Caenorhabditis elegans: one gene and its partners. The protein of the gene in region 1 purifies or fractionates together with the protein of each later gene. This does not show direct contact. Each region holds a gene or a part of one and is shown in the gene's direction. Other genes may lie near its edges.

Evidence for each region.
Region 2: the proteins of ttll-4 (region 1) and aly-3 fractionate together in Caenorhabditis elegans (co-fractionation; one large-scale study listed by BioGRID). This does not show direct contact.
Region 3: the proteins of ttll-4 (region 1) and aos-1 fractionate together in Caenorhabditis elegans (co-fractionation; one large-scale study listed by BioGRID). This does not show direct contact.

What each region holds. Positions count from the first base shown.
Region 1 is NC_003281.10:10,121,938-10,128,013, forward strand, and holds the start of ttll-4 (Tubulin polyglutamylase ttll-4), read left to right. Parts: upstream 1-2,245; coding exon 2,246-2,348; intron 2,349-5,856; coding exon 5,857-6,076. Other genes in the region: ham-3 (SWI/SNF chromatin-remodeling accessory subunit 1), read left to right, coding at 81-381, 715-784. UniProt on the Caenorhabditis elegans protein: Monoglutamylase which modifies tubulin, adding a single glutamate on the gamma-carboxyl group of specific glutamate residues of target proteins. Involved in the side-chain initiation step of the polyglutamylation reaction but not in the elongation step.
Region 2 is NC_003282.8:12,121,246-12,126,070, forward strand, and holds aly-3 (Chromatin target of PRMT1 protein C-terminal domain-containing protein), read left to right. Parts: upstream 1-2,036; 5' UTR 2,037-2,068; coding exon 2,069-2,276; intron 2,277-2,326; coding exon 2,327-2,446; intron 2,447-2,493; coding exon 2,494-2,585; exon of another isoform or gene 2,586-3,001; coding exon 3,002-3,128; intron 3,129-3,178; coding exon 3,179-3,354; 3' UTR 3,355-3,564; downstream 3,565-4,825. Other genes in the region: M18.6 (CULT domain-containing protein), read left to right, coding at 132-357, 408-633, 681-1,232, 1,282-1,522; dhhc-6 (Palmitoyltransferase), read left to right, coding at 3,707-3,829, 3,877-4,162, 4,344-4,652, 4,701-4,825.
Region 3 is NC_003283.11:10,126,368-10,132,704, reverse strand, and holds aos-1 (SUMO-activating enzyme subunit aos-1), read left to right. Parts: upstream 1-2,409; 5' UTR 2,410-2,410; coding exon 2,411-2,505; intron 2,506-2,551; coding exon 2,552-2,729; intron 2,730-2,777; coding exon 2,778-3,046; intron 3,047-3,093; coding exon 3,094-3,441; intron 3,442-4,862; coding exon 4,863-5,025; 3' UTR 5,026-5,213; downstream 5,214-6,337. Other genes in the region: wdr-20 (WD repeat-containing protein 20 homolog), read left to right, coding at 13-140, 192-396, 444-1,209, 1,255-1,361, 1,493-1,774, 1,828-1,937; C08B6.10 (Proline-rich proteoglycan 2-like), read right to left, coding at 5,226-5,583. UniProt on the Caenorhabditis elegans protein: The dimeric enzyme acts as an E1 ligase for smo-1. It mediates ATP-dependent activation of smo-1 and formation of a thioester with a conserved cysteine residue on uba-2.

The sequences.
Region 1 (6,076 bases):
ATTTTTTAAGACCGGAAGTTTGAAAATGTTTTAGTTTTTCAATTTTTCCTGTAAAAATCTCTTTCTCATTTTTTCTTCAGATGTCGAGCTCGAGGATCCAGTCAAACAACAAATGGCAAATTTCGTTCACAATCAAACAAATGCGAACGACATTCAACTACTTGATCAAAAAATATTCGACTTGGTAGATCAAATAAACGAGATGAAGCTGCGTCGTGATTTCTTCCTTCGTTTCTCGAACGAGCCCAGTGGATTCATCAAGAAATGGGTTGTAAGCCAGAATTCTGACTTGAAGACTTTAACAGAATCAAGTGGTGATGGAGAATCCGATCGTTATGCGACAACGTACAGTACAACTGATACAGATGAAGGTGTATCACGGTATGTTCATAAGCTAATTGAAAATATATTTATTTATAGAAAAAACTCAAATTTAACAATAGAAACCTAAAAATGTTTAAAATTGCCGAAAATTTCCTCGTTTTTGCGGAATTTTCAGCGATTTGTCAACATTTGTTTATAGTTTTAAAATAAATAAAAAATTTTTTAAAGAACCGAGGAAAAATTCCAAAACGATGAATTGCAGTTACAGTACTCCTTAAGGCTGCACAATTTTTCTAAATTTCTCCGTATTTTTGGCGAAAAAAATATCAAAAAAATTCACAAATGACTAATAATTTATCATTTTTATATCCAAAATTCTGTATTTTCCAGGTACATGTATCAGAAAATCCAACAAAAACGAGCCGAGCTGGAGCAAAGTCTCGGAATCCGCAACAATTAATAAATTATATCTCTTTCCGTATAATATCGATTTTTTCTCTCTTCCTTCTCCCTCTGCCGACCTGTAAACTGGGATCTCAACAACATTTTCAAAAATTCTCTTTTTATCGAATCTAATTACGTTTTATCTCAATTCTTCACTAATTATATAATTATTTTTCTCTCCACTCCAAACCAAATTTTAATTGATAAATTATATGCATTTTAAGCTTATGCTCGAAAATTTAAACAGTGGTTTATTTATCCAATTTATTTATTATTTTCTTTTTTACCACATGTGTGTAATATGTAAATTATAGGAAAAAACGCGCCTTTTGAAATCGAAGCACAAGTGCGCTCCATGGGCACGCGGGCTCCGCCTCAAAACGTTAGGTCTCGTTAGGTTTTTGGTGAAAAAATCGTACATTCAAACGTTTTCAATTAATTTTCCGGTTTTTTGTTTTTTTTTTTTGCTGTTTTCGGTTATTTTCAATGATTTTTACGTCGAGATCATGTTTAAAATTTTTAAAAAATCAATTTCGGCTTAAAAATGATTTGAAAAAAACAACGGAATACATTACAAAAAAACCTGCCTTTTATTTTTTTCGTCTTTTTTGCAATGTATTCCGTTGTTTTTTTCAAATCATTTTTAAGCCGAAATTGATTTTTTAAAAATTTTAAACTTTTACCTTGTATATACCTAACCAACTTTTTGGAGGCGGAGTGTGTTAATTGAGGCCCCACGAAAAGGGGAGCAGAACGAAAAGGGGATCTCCAAAAAGGGGATCTGCGAAAAGGGGAGATACGAAAAGGGGAGCTAACGAAAAGGGGATCTGGCACTGTGCCAAACGCTATTTTTCTCGAAGAAAACGATACAACGATGCTCCGATGTTACGCGTCGCGTGCTGTTAAGCGTATCCTCTAGAAGAAAATTTCAAAAATCAACGTGCGTTGCGTGAGAAAAATTGCGTTTTGTGCGTTTGGCACAGTGCCAGCTCCCCTTTTCGTTGCTCCCCTTTTCGTATCTCCATTTTTCGTATCTCCCCTTTTCGCAGATCCCCTTTTTGCAGATCCCCTTTTCGTTCTGCTCCCCTTTTCGTGGGGCCTCTGTTAATTTGACCGTGGAGCGCACTTGCCTCGATTTGTAGATTTACGTGCTCGTGTACTCTGCGTGGACAATCCTGATTTTTTTCGCTATTTTTCTTGCATTTAACATTTAAAAAAGTCACTTTTAAAAACTTTTAAAATGCCGGAAGCCATTCGAGATTTGAGATATGTAACATGTAAAATAAAACAACTAGAAAAAGAGCACTCGGAAAAAATTCCGGCTCTCCCGTTTTCTCTATCTCAGTCTCCTGCTTTATTACACACACACAGACATACTTTATCTCGGTCAACACAGACAGACACATCCTTATTCCTTTTTCCAATATTTATACATATATTTTCTCACATAATTTTTAATAAAAGAAATATATTTCAGATGAGTAGCGGGTATTCCTCTGCACCGAGTGTGTCTCATACATCAAGTGACACAGATTTGAATCGAATCGACAGCTATGATGATGGAGCTGAAGAGACAACAGGTAATTACCGGAAGTTTTTTGACAAAATTTTTTAGCTTTTTTTGTTTTGTCTTTATGGCAAATCCTTCACTTTCCGTGGCGAGAAACAGAAAAATTGATCTGAAAATTTGTAAAAATTGCATTTTTTCAGTACTCTCGAGACTTTTTAAATTTTGAATTGCTGAGCTTTTTTTTCATTAAAATTTTACCCAGATGCAAAATTTTGTCTCGAAGCGACATTTTTTGTTAATGTAAATAGGTGTGCGCCTTTAAAGAGTACTGTAATTTCAAACTTTCCGCGCTACGGAGTTTTTAATCAATTTTTCATAGTTTTTCTTTTGAAACATATAAGTTTTAGAAAATGTGAGTAAAAATTTTTAAAATAGAATTGGAAATTACAGTACTCTTTAAAGGCGCACACCTTTTTGCAACTAACAACTATTTGTCGTGTCGAGACCGGTTACCATATTTGGCGCCAAATTTCGTGTCTGGATTATTATCCAGACACGAAACGAGACACGAGGAAGCTTTTTATGAAATTTTTATTATTTTTTTGAGAAAAAATCGGGAATTTTTTAAGTTGGGTGAAAACAAATTTCAGATTGAAAAGAAAATCCAATATTTTTTTTTCGAAAAAATTGGCATCTTTATGGAAGTTTCTTCTGAAAAGTTTTTAGATTTTTAAAACAAAATTTTTTTAAGATTGAAAAGTAATTGGAAATATGCAAAAATCCACTTTTTGAGCAATTTTGCGGGGCTCAATGGTAGTGAAAAAATGCGACGAAAAAAACATTTTCAAATCGAATTTTTTAAAAACTTCTTTTTAAAAAAGTCACAATTCTAGTTTTTGATTCGACGTTCCGATTACTAAATGATCATAGATGGTTGTTTATTTTTGTATTCGACATCTTCTTTTTCTCACCGTCATTTTATTAGAAATCACAAGTTGTTTTTCATTTTCTCAAACCTTTTCGCCCAAAAAAATCTCTAATCTTAAATTAAATATCTCTTTTAAAAATAATAAACTTTAGGTTTTCCGTTGAGAAATCTACGAAAAACTAGTCCCTTGAGTTTTTGTTTTATCCGCTTGTCGATCTTCCTCTAACCTAAAAATTCAACTATTTCCACAAGCGCTTCTCTTTTTTTTTTGAAATTTTTTCTGTTGAAGAGAGCATAAGTAGTACTTCATCTCAAAAGATAAAGCTTCAAAAGCATGAAGTCGTAGACATTGTTTTATGATGCTCAAGAATTTTGTTGAAGCGAAAGAAAATCTGTGAAAAAGCTTCTAGCGTTAATGAGAATTTATATTTACTAAAATCTTTGAAATTTTTATAAAAATTTTAGTTTTAATGCCAAAAAATACCAAAAAGAACAGATTACAGTTTGAAAAATAGAAATTATATTTCTATAGAAAAGGAGAATTTTTAAATTATTTACTTGAGAAAATTTGAAAAAAAATTCCAAACAAACATGACCAAAAAAAATTTTTCCTGGATTTTTTGTACTTTTTGAGAAAAAAAAACATTTTTGTAGAATAATTATAGGTAGATTTCAAGCTAAAAACATAGAAATATCTTTCTTTTTTTTTTGAAATAAAAACAGTTAACAATTTTTTTTAAAGTTTCACTATGAAATTTGACCATTTCCCCACTGATAAAAAATTAAATTTACTGACAGGAATTTTATTTTTAAAAAAGTTGCAGAAATAATAAATTTTCTTAAAACTGTAGAAATTATTTTTTTGTAAATATAAAAATTGCTGAAATAATTTCAGAATTGCAGAAATTATATTTTTTTAAAATATATAAAAATTGTAGAAACTATGTTCAAATTGAAAAAATTATATATTCTTTTAATACAAAAGGTGCAATTTTTTTTTTGACGGACTCCTAAAGTTACCATAAAGAAGCCGTATTTGGCGCCCTATTTTGGAGGAAATTCGAAAAAAATCACTTTTTCAAGGTATTTTTGTTACAGTTGCGTTGCAAAAATAGTAGAAATGACAAATAAAAAACCAGCAAAAAAACAAAAGTCAAAAAAAAGAAGATGCTCAAGAGAGCCCTAACTTCGTTGCCAGACACCGCATAAAACACATTTACTTCCCCGCCGTTACCACCATAACAATCACGACACTTTTTCGTTCACTTCTCACTCTGTTCTTCTTCTTCTTCTTCTCGCTCGTCGTCGCTTTACACCTATAACGTTCAAATAAACAAAAAAATAATTGTGTAGTGATGTATCTCTTTTTGTCTCCGTTGACACCACCATCACTACCACCCTTTGAGGAGAGAGCATGAAGATTACTGCTGCTGGGGGGGGGCTTAGTGAGAAATAGGAGATGATATAGTGATTAGAGATACATACGTTTTAAACTATGAGTGAGTGATGGCAGAAAACTAGGGAAAAAACTACCAAGAAAACAAAACAAAGAACTCTCGGATACTAATCTTTAGTTTTATTTTTTTTTGTCTTGCTTTACGAGAAAGAAAAAGCAAAATGACAGCTTTTTTACTCACAGAAAAACGTTGTTGAGCTCACTTTTTTTTTGGCTTTTTTTAAATGAAAAATCCTACAGAAAATGTAGCCATTCTGAATTTATTTTTAAGAGAATCAGAAAAATGTGCTTATCACGTTTTACGATTATGGCAACAATTTAAGGAGTTTTAGTACTTTTCTCTCTAAAAAAACGTTTTTACTGGAAATTTTTTTTCTGATAATTTTGCCAAATTTGCAGGAAATTTTTCCCCACATTAAAAAATTGTTCAAACTTTATATCAGGGGTGGGCGGCAAACGATTTTTCCGGCAAATCGGCAAGTTACCGGAATTGAATATTTCCGGCAAATCGGCAAACCGCCAAATAGCCTGAATTGAACATTTCCGGCAAATAGGCAATTTTCCGGAACTGAAAATTTCCGACAAATTGGCAAACCGGCAATGTGCCGGAAAAACGGCAAACTGGTGAACTTGCCGGAATTGAAAATTTCTGGTAAATCGGCAAACCGGAAATTGGCCGAATTTGCCGGAAAAACGGCAATCGCTGAAAATTTTTGGCAAATTGTGGTTTTACACACTTTTTTTTGGAAATTTCAGAATTTAAATTTTAATCGGCAAAATTGTACGCGTCCTATGAATGTTCCTACATTTATTTTAAAAAGTAAAAAAATTATATGAAATATCTAAAGAAAACGGGAAAAAAATTTCAAAAAAGCACAGTTTTAAGTGTTTCCGTATTATAAAAAAATCCCCCTAAACACTTCCGGCAAATTGATGTTCGGCAAATGGCAAATCGGCAAACCGGCAGTTTGCCGAATTGGTCGACAAAAAAGTTGCCGAAAAATTTCTGAGTTAAAAACTGCCATTTTGTTTTTTCCCGTAAAGAAAAACTAAAAATAACTAGAGATTAGTAGATATTTGAGTTTTGTTTTGCACTCCCTTCACCCAATTTTAACTCAAAAAAATAAATAAATATTTATTATTCCATCTCATTTCTCTCTCATTATATATATCTATCAACACTCCAATTTTCAGATGAACAACGAATGTGTGGTCTGAGTGAGCTTGTGACATCGTGTCTCACGTCATCTCGTTTGAAGGCTATCGACGAAGAAGATGAAGAAGAAAATTGTAATGATATTGAAATTGTTGGATTGAGCAAGACGACGACAAAAGTGAAAAGATCCAAGAAAGTTCTGTCTTGCCCGATTGTTTCGAGTAGTACGAAGAAAGAGAATGGAAATGCGGCGCCATT
Region 2 (4,825 bases), on another chromosome or scaffold:
ACGATTGTCTCGCACTCTCCACTGTCTAGCATGTAGCAACAGAGCGCACCTGCATTGTTTTTTTTTTGTCAAAAAAAAACAATCCTGTTTTTATCCTATTTAATTTTGTTTTTAAAATGAGCGAAGAAGAAATGGAACTTATTCAAGACGAAGATGAATCAGAATCAGAAGATTTTTATGACGCAGAAGATGCGGAGCCACAAGCCATGGAAGGACTGAATGTTGACGTGACTCACAGATTCGATTATGCTCTTCAAGACAATGAAAATAGAGAAAATTATGAAAATGAAGCCAGACTCACAGATTATGGAACAAATTGGTTTCCGATTTGTGGAGTCAGTGCTGTTTGTTTTCCTGGTGAGTTACATTTAAAAAGAAAAACCTCCCGATTTCATATTAGTTTACAGGGCAACAACTCCCGATGAAATTCCACGATGATGAACGAGAAATCTATGAAAGACTTGTATCGAGTGCTCGAGCTAATGGATTTGTTGTACTGTTTCCATTGGATATTCCAGAATGCACATCACTCCCATATATTGCTACACTTTCTAGAGTTGTTCAAGCAAATTCTAACGCTCTGAGTATGGAGTTGATGGGCGTCTACAGATGTAAAGTTTTGAAGTATAATTTGTAAGTTTTACGAAACATAATTTCCTTCTAATTTCTTTCAAATTCAGAGGGCGTGGTGAAGCAGAAGTACAATTGCTACCAGACGTCGAACTTCCATCGTTACTTCCATCATTTATTCCGAAATATGCAATACATTTACCTGCTCACGAAAAACGTTCAATTGCAACCCGAATCAATGGATATCCATTCAATGCTATTCGAGATGTTACAGAAAGTGCTGTGAATGAATGCGTGGGACTACTTTCAGGAATGCTTGGAGATGACACTGTGAGACAAGCTAAAGATCGTGGCCTCACATACTTCAGCTATTTTGCTGCAAAGCATATTTTCTCTAATCGGCTAACTGAGTACAGTCTCTTGAAAGAAGATTCAGCGAACGGTCGTATAGTTGCTGCTCTGAAGTATTTCAAAGTATTTGTCGGGAGATGTTCTAGATGTCGCATTCCAATTTTCCGCAATGAACATATCATGAGGCTTCCAGATCAAACAATGACTCATGTTAATGCTCACGGATTTGTTCACAAAATTACCTTACTGTCAGAAATACGAAACTATGATCGAGCTACACCACCATCATATGAATTCACATGGTTTCCAGAGTCAGCTTATTCAAATACCTCTTTATCATTAAATTAGTCAGATTTTCAGGTACGCATGGATTATCATTCAGTGCTCCAGATGTCATGAACACCTTGGATGGGAATATATCAGCATGACTCGTGAACCACGACGCTTTTTCGGAATTCAACGAGAAGGAATTACGTTTCAAAACGAATTACAAGAAGGCGATACAGAGGAAAATTGGGATCATGTTCCAGAGTTTGACAACGATGATCAAGAAGAAGAAGATGATGCGATGAATTTTATACGGTTAATTCTGCGTCGATGAATACTGTATCCTATTTAGTTACTTTGCTAGATATACATCACTGGTCTCAAAATAATTTTCAAGAATGATTTTTCGTTGCCAATTGGCCTTAAGAAGTAATAAACTTTTTGTATGAGCCACTCGTTGTGTCGTTAGTTTTAAATACTTGTTTCCATCCTTTTTCTTACTTTGAATTATTATTTGAAAAACGTTAAAATTTCTCTACACTGATTTTAAGCTGTCAATTTGTTTGTTTCCCTAATTCTCTGCAAAAAAATGTGTTGAGAATTTTATTCAAATAAGAGGTAACGTATGCTGTTGACCGCGTTGCGTACGCGTCGCGGTCACCAAACGCAGCGTTTTTCTCAGTTTCCTCATTTGCTCATTCCTATCTTTTCATTCATTATTTCTCATTCCACTTTGGTCTCCGCTACATTTGCTCTTCCGAATAATTATAATTTTTTTCTTTGTTTTTTCCCGTGAACTTACTTTTGATCTTAAACCAAATGTTGTCGTTCTAATTCAATTGAAAAACGTTTCAGTTTCAACTCCAACAATCTTCGAAAAATGGTTAAGGCTACCAATGTCGATTTGTCTCTTGAGGACATCATCTCTAAAACCAGAAAGACAACTGGAAGCATTCAAAAGAAATCCTTCGGAGGAGCTCGACGAGGAAATACGAGACCCACTGGACTTCCACGCCGCTCCGGCGGAAGTGGTGGATGGAAAGACTTGGACGCGGTTCAGAATCATGGAATTTCAAGCAGAGGAAATGGTGGGTTTCAAATCAATATGTATCTTATTTTCTACTCATTTTGATTATAGATAGCAAGGTTATTAGAGTAAATATCTCTAATCTTGCCCCAACAGTCATTTCAAGCGATTTGGAGGAACTCTTCGGCGACTACAGACTCAGCTCAGTTTCGGTCAACTTCAACGAGCATGGTAAGCTTGATAATATATGCAACCGTATTGAACCAATTTATTTTCAGGTGATTCATTGGGTACTGGTGACATTTCGCTCACCAAACGTGATGCTGAGAGACTTGTTCAGAAGTTTAGCGGTGTCGCTCTAGATGGAAAGGTATTGCATTGGGATACAACAAATCGATAACAAAGACTTTGAAACAATCAATTGGGGCTGAATCCTGATTAAAGTGTGTGCTCCAGCGGACGCTCCTGAATGCGTTCTGTTCTTCTTCTACCAGTTCACAGAAATCTACTGTACGCAACAACAGACCCAGGCAATCAGAATCTCGTTGTTTCCTTTCAAAAAGAGACTTAATAAACCTGTGTTGAGGTTTTTTTGTTGAGTGTGGCCGTTCATTCGATGAAGCTCGTTGAAATTAGTTTTGACCCGTGTCGTGAGATGGATTGTGAGGGGAAAGCCGTTGCTGTCGACACGCATTAATTGATTGGCTCGAGACTTGGTTATTCAAGATTTCTCCGTTACCCAAATCCTGATCTCAGGTGACACAAAATGGAACATGAATATTTCAGATCATGAAATTCGCCGTCATTGATTCGAGCAACATGGCTGGGAGAGTCGATTTTGGAAACAGATCTCGTAGTTCACCGGGAAGATCATCTCGTGGATTCCAATCGGGTCCTCGCAGAAACAATGGCAGTACGTTTTAATGATTAAATTGTGTTCACCAGAATAATCTTTATTTTCAGAACCAGAAGATTTCCTCCGCGACGGAGTGCACGCCGGTGACATCAAGAGAGGCGGAGCTGGTCGAGGTGGATTCCGCAAGGGAGGCCGTGGTGGAGCTCGTGATGCAAAACCAAAGAAGACCGAAGCTGAACTCGACGCGGAGCTCGAAGCCTACATGGCGAAGCGAAATGCCTGAGCACTTTTTTTTTAAACTATAAATCACTTTTTGAACATTCTTGATATCTGCTATAATCTCTGATCCTTCTGTTGTTCTATCACATTAATAACTCGGAATATTTTACACAATCACCAATTTTTATATTTATCGTTCTACTACTTTCCTTTCTCGTGATCTTTTTGTCCACATTTTAAAAATTCGATAAAATAATAAACTGAGCGTCAATAATTTCTTATTGGATCAAGTATGAAGTCGATTTTCGATGGAAGAATATCGTTGTCAGTTATGTGGATTCACCCAGGTCGCCACAATTATGTTCGAAATTTGATTTAATTTTAAATATTTTATTATTGAAATTTAATCAATTCAGATGACGGGTGAGGTGGTGGAGACTCCGGATTGGCCTGCTCCAATTGCAGAAATTGGAGATAAGCCTGTATTTAGACGAATGTTCCATTTTGGAACCATTTTTGCATTCTCCACAATAACCATGGTATTTTTTATATAATTTTGATCATTATAAAATAATATTTGATTCAGATTGGAGCAGTAACAACATTTTTTGCTCTTCAGTGGATGCCTGTTACTTCATACATGGGACTTTTCAATACACTAACATTTTTATTGTGGAATTATTTAACAATAGGAAATCTCTTCAACGCTTCATTCTTCGGTCCAGGATATGTGCCACGTGGCTGGAGACCAGAGAATGCAGCCGACGAGAAGAAACTTCAATTTTGTGTTCCGTGCAACGGATTCAAAGTTCCAAGATCTCACCATTGCTCAAAATGTGATCGTTGTTGTATGAAAATGGATCATCATTGTCGTAAGTTTCTAGATTAGGCCGAGCTTCTTCAATAAATAATAGATAGAGTATCGTCGGGTTTTTTGCTCGAACAGACAGTAAAGATTCTCAATATATTTACCGAATATAGCTGGAATAAAATAATACAATTTTTTAAATTTTTATGATTTTGCAAAAATCTACAAATTATATTATATTTCAGCTTGGATCAACAATTGTGTCGGTCACCGAAACCATCAATATTTCCTTCGTTTCCTGTTCTTCTCAGTTGTTGGATGTATTCACTCGACTATCATTGATGGTTCAGCACTCTATCACGCAATCTTTGCTGGATGGTATCAGAAATATGGCGATGGAACGGAGCCTATAATCCTTCTTACACCAATTTCCTTCATTGCTCTCGTATTTGCAATCGCAATGGCCATTGCTGTTGCTCTGGCTCTCACTTTTCTATTCATAACTCAACTACGATATGTGATTCGAAACAGAAATGGAATTGAAGACTATATTCGTGAGCTGCTTCTGACAATTTTTTTAAAAATACCTACTGTGTTTTCAGATGGAAAGTCTCTGAACATGCGTAAAGTCCATGAAGGTGACGATGAAGAAGAAATTGAATGGATCAAGAGTCTGGGTGAATGGACGTATCCATATGATCTTGGTTGGAAGAGAAATCTTCGTGAA
Region 3 (6,337 bases), on another chromosome or scaffold:
TATTTTATTCAGGCGATTCAAACATTTTCTTGGCGTCATATGTGTCGGGCAATCTTTATGTATATGACCAAAGAATTTCTGCTGCGAGTAGCAACAATAATGGAAGCTCACAGCCTCCGCCGTGGACTATTCATAAAGAGGTTTCTTTTTGTTTCTAAAATTGGAAGCATATATTTATATTGATTTTGCAGGGTGACAAGTTCGCGATTCACACGTGGAAAGGCAAAGTTCAGCGGAATCCAGTTACCAGGTGGCAAATTGGAGAAGGTTCAATTCACCAGTTCAGTTTCTCTGGATCAGATGGGAAAATGATGGCCACGGTGTCACATGATGGGTTCCTCAGGATTTTCAATTATCATGCACAAGAATTGCTGGCAGTTATGAAATCATATTTCGGTTGGTTCATTATCTTCGAAAAAAATCAAATATTCATGAAATTTAAGGTGGATTGCTTACGCTCTCATGGAGCCCTGATGCAAAATTGATTGCCACTGGCGGCGAAGATGATCTTCTAACAGTTTATAGTGTAGCTGAGAAACGAGTAGTTTGCAGAGGACAAGCTCACAAAAGTTGGGTTAGTCAGGTCAAGTTTGATCCTTATTTATGCACAACCGAAGAAGATCTGGAAAATAATGGTATTGCGATGACATCTACGTTTGACGACGTTGCAAAGGATTTCTCAATACGTTCGGGACCAGTACCATCTACTAGTGCAGATTTGAATTCTGGAGTGATGAATGCAACTTCAACATTCTCTCGTTGTTCACTTGCTTCGTTTAACACTATCAACGGAGCTCCAGCTGGAAACAGTGTCCGTTATCGAATAGGAAGTGTTGGACACGACACATTTCTATGCCTGTGGGATATAACAGAAGATATGTTGAACCAAGGAAACATTCGACGTCATCGAAATTCAACAATAATTGCCCCAATGACTACCCTCGAAGTACAGACGAATTCTCTAGTTGGAAGACTTGAAGATCTTCAGGAAGTCTCTCCTGGTGGTGCTGGTGTTAATGCATCTTCTGATTCACAGTCTATAACTAATAATCACACAACTCCTCGCCCAGAAAAACAAAAAAAGAAGAAATTTACAAAACGTCTAGGATTTTCGAAGTTTACTTCTGGAAGCTCCAGTGCTACATCAAATCCGGTTGGTGGCCACAAAATTGGCACATTGATGAATGGTGCATCAGTAAATTCTGAAAGGTATGTCGATTTATTCAGAATTTATAATAATATGTTAATTTTCAGTTCCAAGAAACAAAACCCCGGGCTAATTTCTCAAATAAGCTGCTGTAACGAAACGCGGATGTTGGGTTCTAAATTTTGTCCAGGGATTCGAGATGTTCCTATGATCGGTAAGCTTATACTTAAAATTAAAATACGATTCACTAGTCAGATCCGGAAAATCGCGAAATTTTTGAATCATTTTTCTATCACGAAAAAAAAGACAAAATGAACGAGAAAGCACTTGTGAAATATTTTTCAGAACCGTTAATGTGCAAAAAAGTATCGCATGATCGTCTGACAGTTCTTGAATTCCGAGAAGATTGTGTTGTGACTGCTTGTCAAGAGGGATATATCTGCACATGGGGCCGCCCCGGCAGATATCAACCAAAACGAGATTGCATCAATTCACCAGGAACAGCAAGTCCGGAATCAGGTCAAAAACCATCTGGATCTACGTCCGCTATGACTTCTTCATATGGATACGGCTCAGATGCTTTGAATGGAGTTCCACCTTCACGATCATCAAGTACCTACAGTAATAGTGAGTTTATTTAATCTAAGAAAATGTCTCTAAAAGTTTTCCAAGTTACTTAGGCGAACAACAACTTCGTTCACCGAATATCACATCCCCGTCATACCGGGTTTCAGCTGCCAGTACTTCTGTTTATCATCGCCCAACATATGCCTGGCAGAATGCAAATTAACCACTCCACTTCGGGTATCTTAAATTTTCTTTACTAGGTTCTTATTCTTTTTTATTGTTCACTTAATCTTATTTATTGTCGTCAAGCGTAATGCTCTGATCTTTAGGATGTATACTGTAACATGATTTTTCTGGATTATTTCTAATTGTAAAGCCCGGCAAAGTTGTTTGCCATTGTTTGCAAACTATGATCACCTGCTCACATTTTTCTTTTATTAATGACTTAACGTTCCAACTTCGCAGATTTAATTTTCTATATTACTGTGCCAGTAGGATCCATGTGCCTAGTTTTTCTTCACCCTAAAACTCACCCCGTTTCATTCTCGTTGTTTAATTTCTGGTCTAATGAATTGTGTATTTATTTAAATATCGTTATTTTACTTCTTCTCGATTTTATTCGGTTCACCTTGCCGTTCATATTAACCATTTTTGCTAAATGTTTTCATATTTTTTGTGATTGCCATAATTTGCAGAATGTCCGAAGCAAAAGAAAATATGGAGGTCAGCAAAGCTGAACAGGCGATTTACGATCGACAAATTCGTTTATGGGGAATGGAAGCTCAAAATAAGTAAGTTTAAATTTTTTCGAATAAAATACTATTGTTTCGTTTTCAGAATCCGAAACTCTAAAGTTTTGATTATTGGTGGAAAACAGCTTGGTGCGGAAGTGGCAAAAACTCTGTCACTCGCTGGTGTTGACGAGATGCATTTAGTTGATCATCGGCTTGTTGATACAGAAGAAATTGGTATGAATTTTCTCTACGACGCTTCGGTTGATAATTCAAAGATGACGGTTTGTAATTAATTCGAATTATACATATCTTATGAACGTTGTTTTCAGAAATGGGCGGCATCATACAATTTTCTTTATAATTTGAACCGCAATGTGAAACTTTTCATCGTCGAGGAAGATGTTCTATCGAAAAATGATTCGGAAATCGAAGAGTATTTGACTAAATTCACGTTGGTTGTTGTTCTCGACGAGAGTTACGAACGTACTGCAAAAGTGAACAATATCTGCCGTAAACACCACATCAGATTTATTTCTGGAGCAATCTACGGATGGATTGGCTACGCATTTTTCGATTTCGATGGCCATGCTTATTTAGTGTAAGTTAAATCGTTTTAAAAGTCTCATCCCAATATTTCTTTTAAAGAAAAGCTAAAAGCCCGGATTGCTTGAATGAAGAAGAATCGGAAACCGGAAAGACGAGCACAGTGGTTACGGTAGATGAAGAATTCGTGCTTGAAACGTTTTCATATCCATCATTTGTCGAAACGCTCAACTCTGATTTCACGGCGAAGAAAATTGTGAGAAAGTGCAAACGGATCGTTCCAACATCATATTTCCTCGTGAAAAGTATGCTCCGCGCTTCCAGCGAAAATAAACTTACCGGAGTCACTGAAAACGATATTGAGAAATTAATTCCAATCTGGAACGAGGAGGTGGCCGCTGGAAATCATACCATCGATATGCAACCAGTTCAACCCGATCGATTTGATCAGTGAGTATTATTCGCACGAAAATTATAAAATGAATCAATAAAAAACATAGAATGTATTATCTTTTTAATTATTTAAAAAAACAAGTTAAAAATGTATCGTAATTTCAAAAAACGGTAGCATTCCGTCTTAAAGACGCACGGACTTATTCATGTGTCTCGATCAGGGCTCTGATCAAAAAACAAAAAATATGCAAAAAAGGTTTATGGTAGTTTTTTTTTTCAAATTTTCGCGTCTGCTTCCAATTTTTTTCTCGCACTTTTCAATGAAACTACTTCATTTTTAACGAATTTTGTCATTTTGTTTTTAACGCACAAATCAACTGTTTTTCATGAAATTTAAAGCAAAAAAAAATTTACTAAATATTAGGTCTCCAAATAAGTTCCGGGTCAAAAATCATAACTTTGTTCGCTGCGAATCGATTTTTATGAAACTGTGGGAATTTATGTTATCAACCATGATCTTTCATTTGCAAATAGTCACAAATTTTTTTTGGCCGTCCGAAGTGCCCTAACTCGGAGCCAATTTTTTCAGGCATTTTTCAGATCTCGCTTCTTTTCAGGTTTCAATTGAGGTTTGTGTGCGGATTTTGCTTAGTTTAATACACAATGTAAGAAAACAAGAAAAGTTTGGAAAAAAATCCCTCCAAAAAAAAAATTTTTGTCGAAAATTTTTGCTTTTTTATACAAAAATGATGTAACCATGTGTAAACTATTTTTACACATACAAAACATTTGAGTATGATATTTGGATCTCGAGAAATAATCCAAAAATTCGAAAAAGCTGTGTTTTCTGTTATTATTTCAGTGTGACGCACTAAATTGAAATGTTTTGTATGTGTAAAAATAGTTTACACATGGTTACATCATTTTTGTATAAAAAAGCAAAAATTTTCGACAAAAATTTTTTTTTTGGAGGGATTTTTTTCCAAACTTTTCTTGTTTTCTTACATTGTGTATTAAACTAAGCAAAATCCGCACACAAACCTCAATTGAAACCTGAAAAGAAGCGAGATCTGAAAAATGCCTGAAAAAATTGGCTCCGAGTTAGGGCACTTCGGACGGCCAAAAAATTTTGTGACTATTGCCAAATGAAAGATCATGGTTGATAACATAAATTCCCACAGTTTCATAAAAATCGATTCGCAGCGAACAAAGTTATGATTTTTGACCCGGAACTTATTTGGAGACCTAATATGTTCATTGAAAAATGTAATGAAGCCGCCGCAAAGATAAGAAAAGCTACCATTAACTTTGTTGTGCGCTGAGACCCATCTAAAAGAACTCCGTGCGCCTTTAAGAATGTATGTAAAAATCTTGTGAAATTACAATAATGCCATTTTAATGTTACGTCCAAAAATCGAAACTCTTGTTCTGCTGCCATTGCAAAAACTTGCAATATTTTCAAAATTGTAATTTTTCAGTTTGTTCGGACCAAACTTTGGACCAACAGCAGCATGTGTCGGTGGAGTAATTGGACAAGAAGCTATTAAATCAATTTCGGAAGGAAAGAATCCACTTCGCAATTTGTTCATCTATACCGGCTTCGAATCAACTGGTTTTATGTGCAATTTCCCACCAGTATAATTTATTGCTTTCATGGTTTTCTGTTGGCTTCTTTTCCGTTCTCAAATCTCAAATTTTCAATCTCATTTTTAATTTAATTTATCACTTTCATCAATTTAAAACTCAATCTCTCTGGTTATTCATTTTATTGTTAATTCTTGGTGTGAATATCGGTGTATGACCAATGGTTTATGAACAATGATATCATGTGTATACATTTCTCAAAGTCCTCTCCATCCGAATGGAGGAGGCGGCCCTGGTGGAGGCGGTCCCCAAGGTGGTGGCGGGCGTCGCCACCAAGGGCCCCGCATCCAAGGTGGACGATGGTGATGATGATGATGCCAACCATCAAAATCTGGTGGTGGAGGTCCTCTGTCTCTCCAATCAGGACGCCATTCTTCATCTGTTGACTGCTGTTGTTGATCCCAATTATTCTGTGGAGACTCTAGCTGCTGCTGGGGTTGCTGTATCTGTGGAGCCCATGTTGTTTGTATTACAGTTGGTTGCCGTCTAATTGGAGCAGCGGTTACCGGATTTGAAGGTGTAGGATTGGCTGGCGAAGGAATACCTGGTGGTCCTCTGAAATTATTTATTGGGACTTTGATAATGTTTTGTTTTTATATTATTTACCAGCCGTGGACCGCACCTCCGGCGCGGCCCCCGACTTCTGGAGCTGAAAACCAATTTTTCTGAAACTGCCGTAATCATACAGTACTCCTACCGTACCACCATTGTACCACTACAGTACCCCGACTATATCCCTACACTAACCCCAACTCACTATCCCTCCAGAAGCTAAAACTTCGCAGACTACAAAGACTACATAGACTACAAACTATGGACAAACGGAATACGCGCTTTATATATAGTAAATGATGATTTGTTAGCAATTTTTCAAAGTTTCAGTCGCTACGGAATTTAGAAAATGCTTATCATATACCGTGTTTCTTCTATTAATATGGCTGCAATACTATTTTTCGATGGACTTCCCGCTTGCAATACTAATAGGGAGTGCAAGACTATTAGGGAGTGCAATACTAATTTTCAGAACATTTTTCTGACTTTGAGCTTACTAGTTTTTTTTCTGAAAAAGCTCGAATCTTATGTAAAAATTCAGAAAATTTGACTTTAATTGTAACATATAAGTTCAAAAACTTCAATCTCGTAGAAATGTTGTGAAAAACTGTTGCAAAATAGGCAAATTTTTTTGTTGAAATCCTGAAGTTAACAAGACGGGCCTGCAATAAAAAATAGTAAACGCAAGGCTATTAGGGAGTGCAAGACTAATAGGGAGTGCCATACTAATTTTCGGAAGGTCTCCGAGGGGCAATAC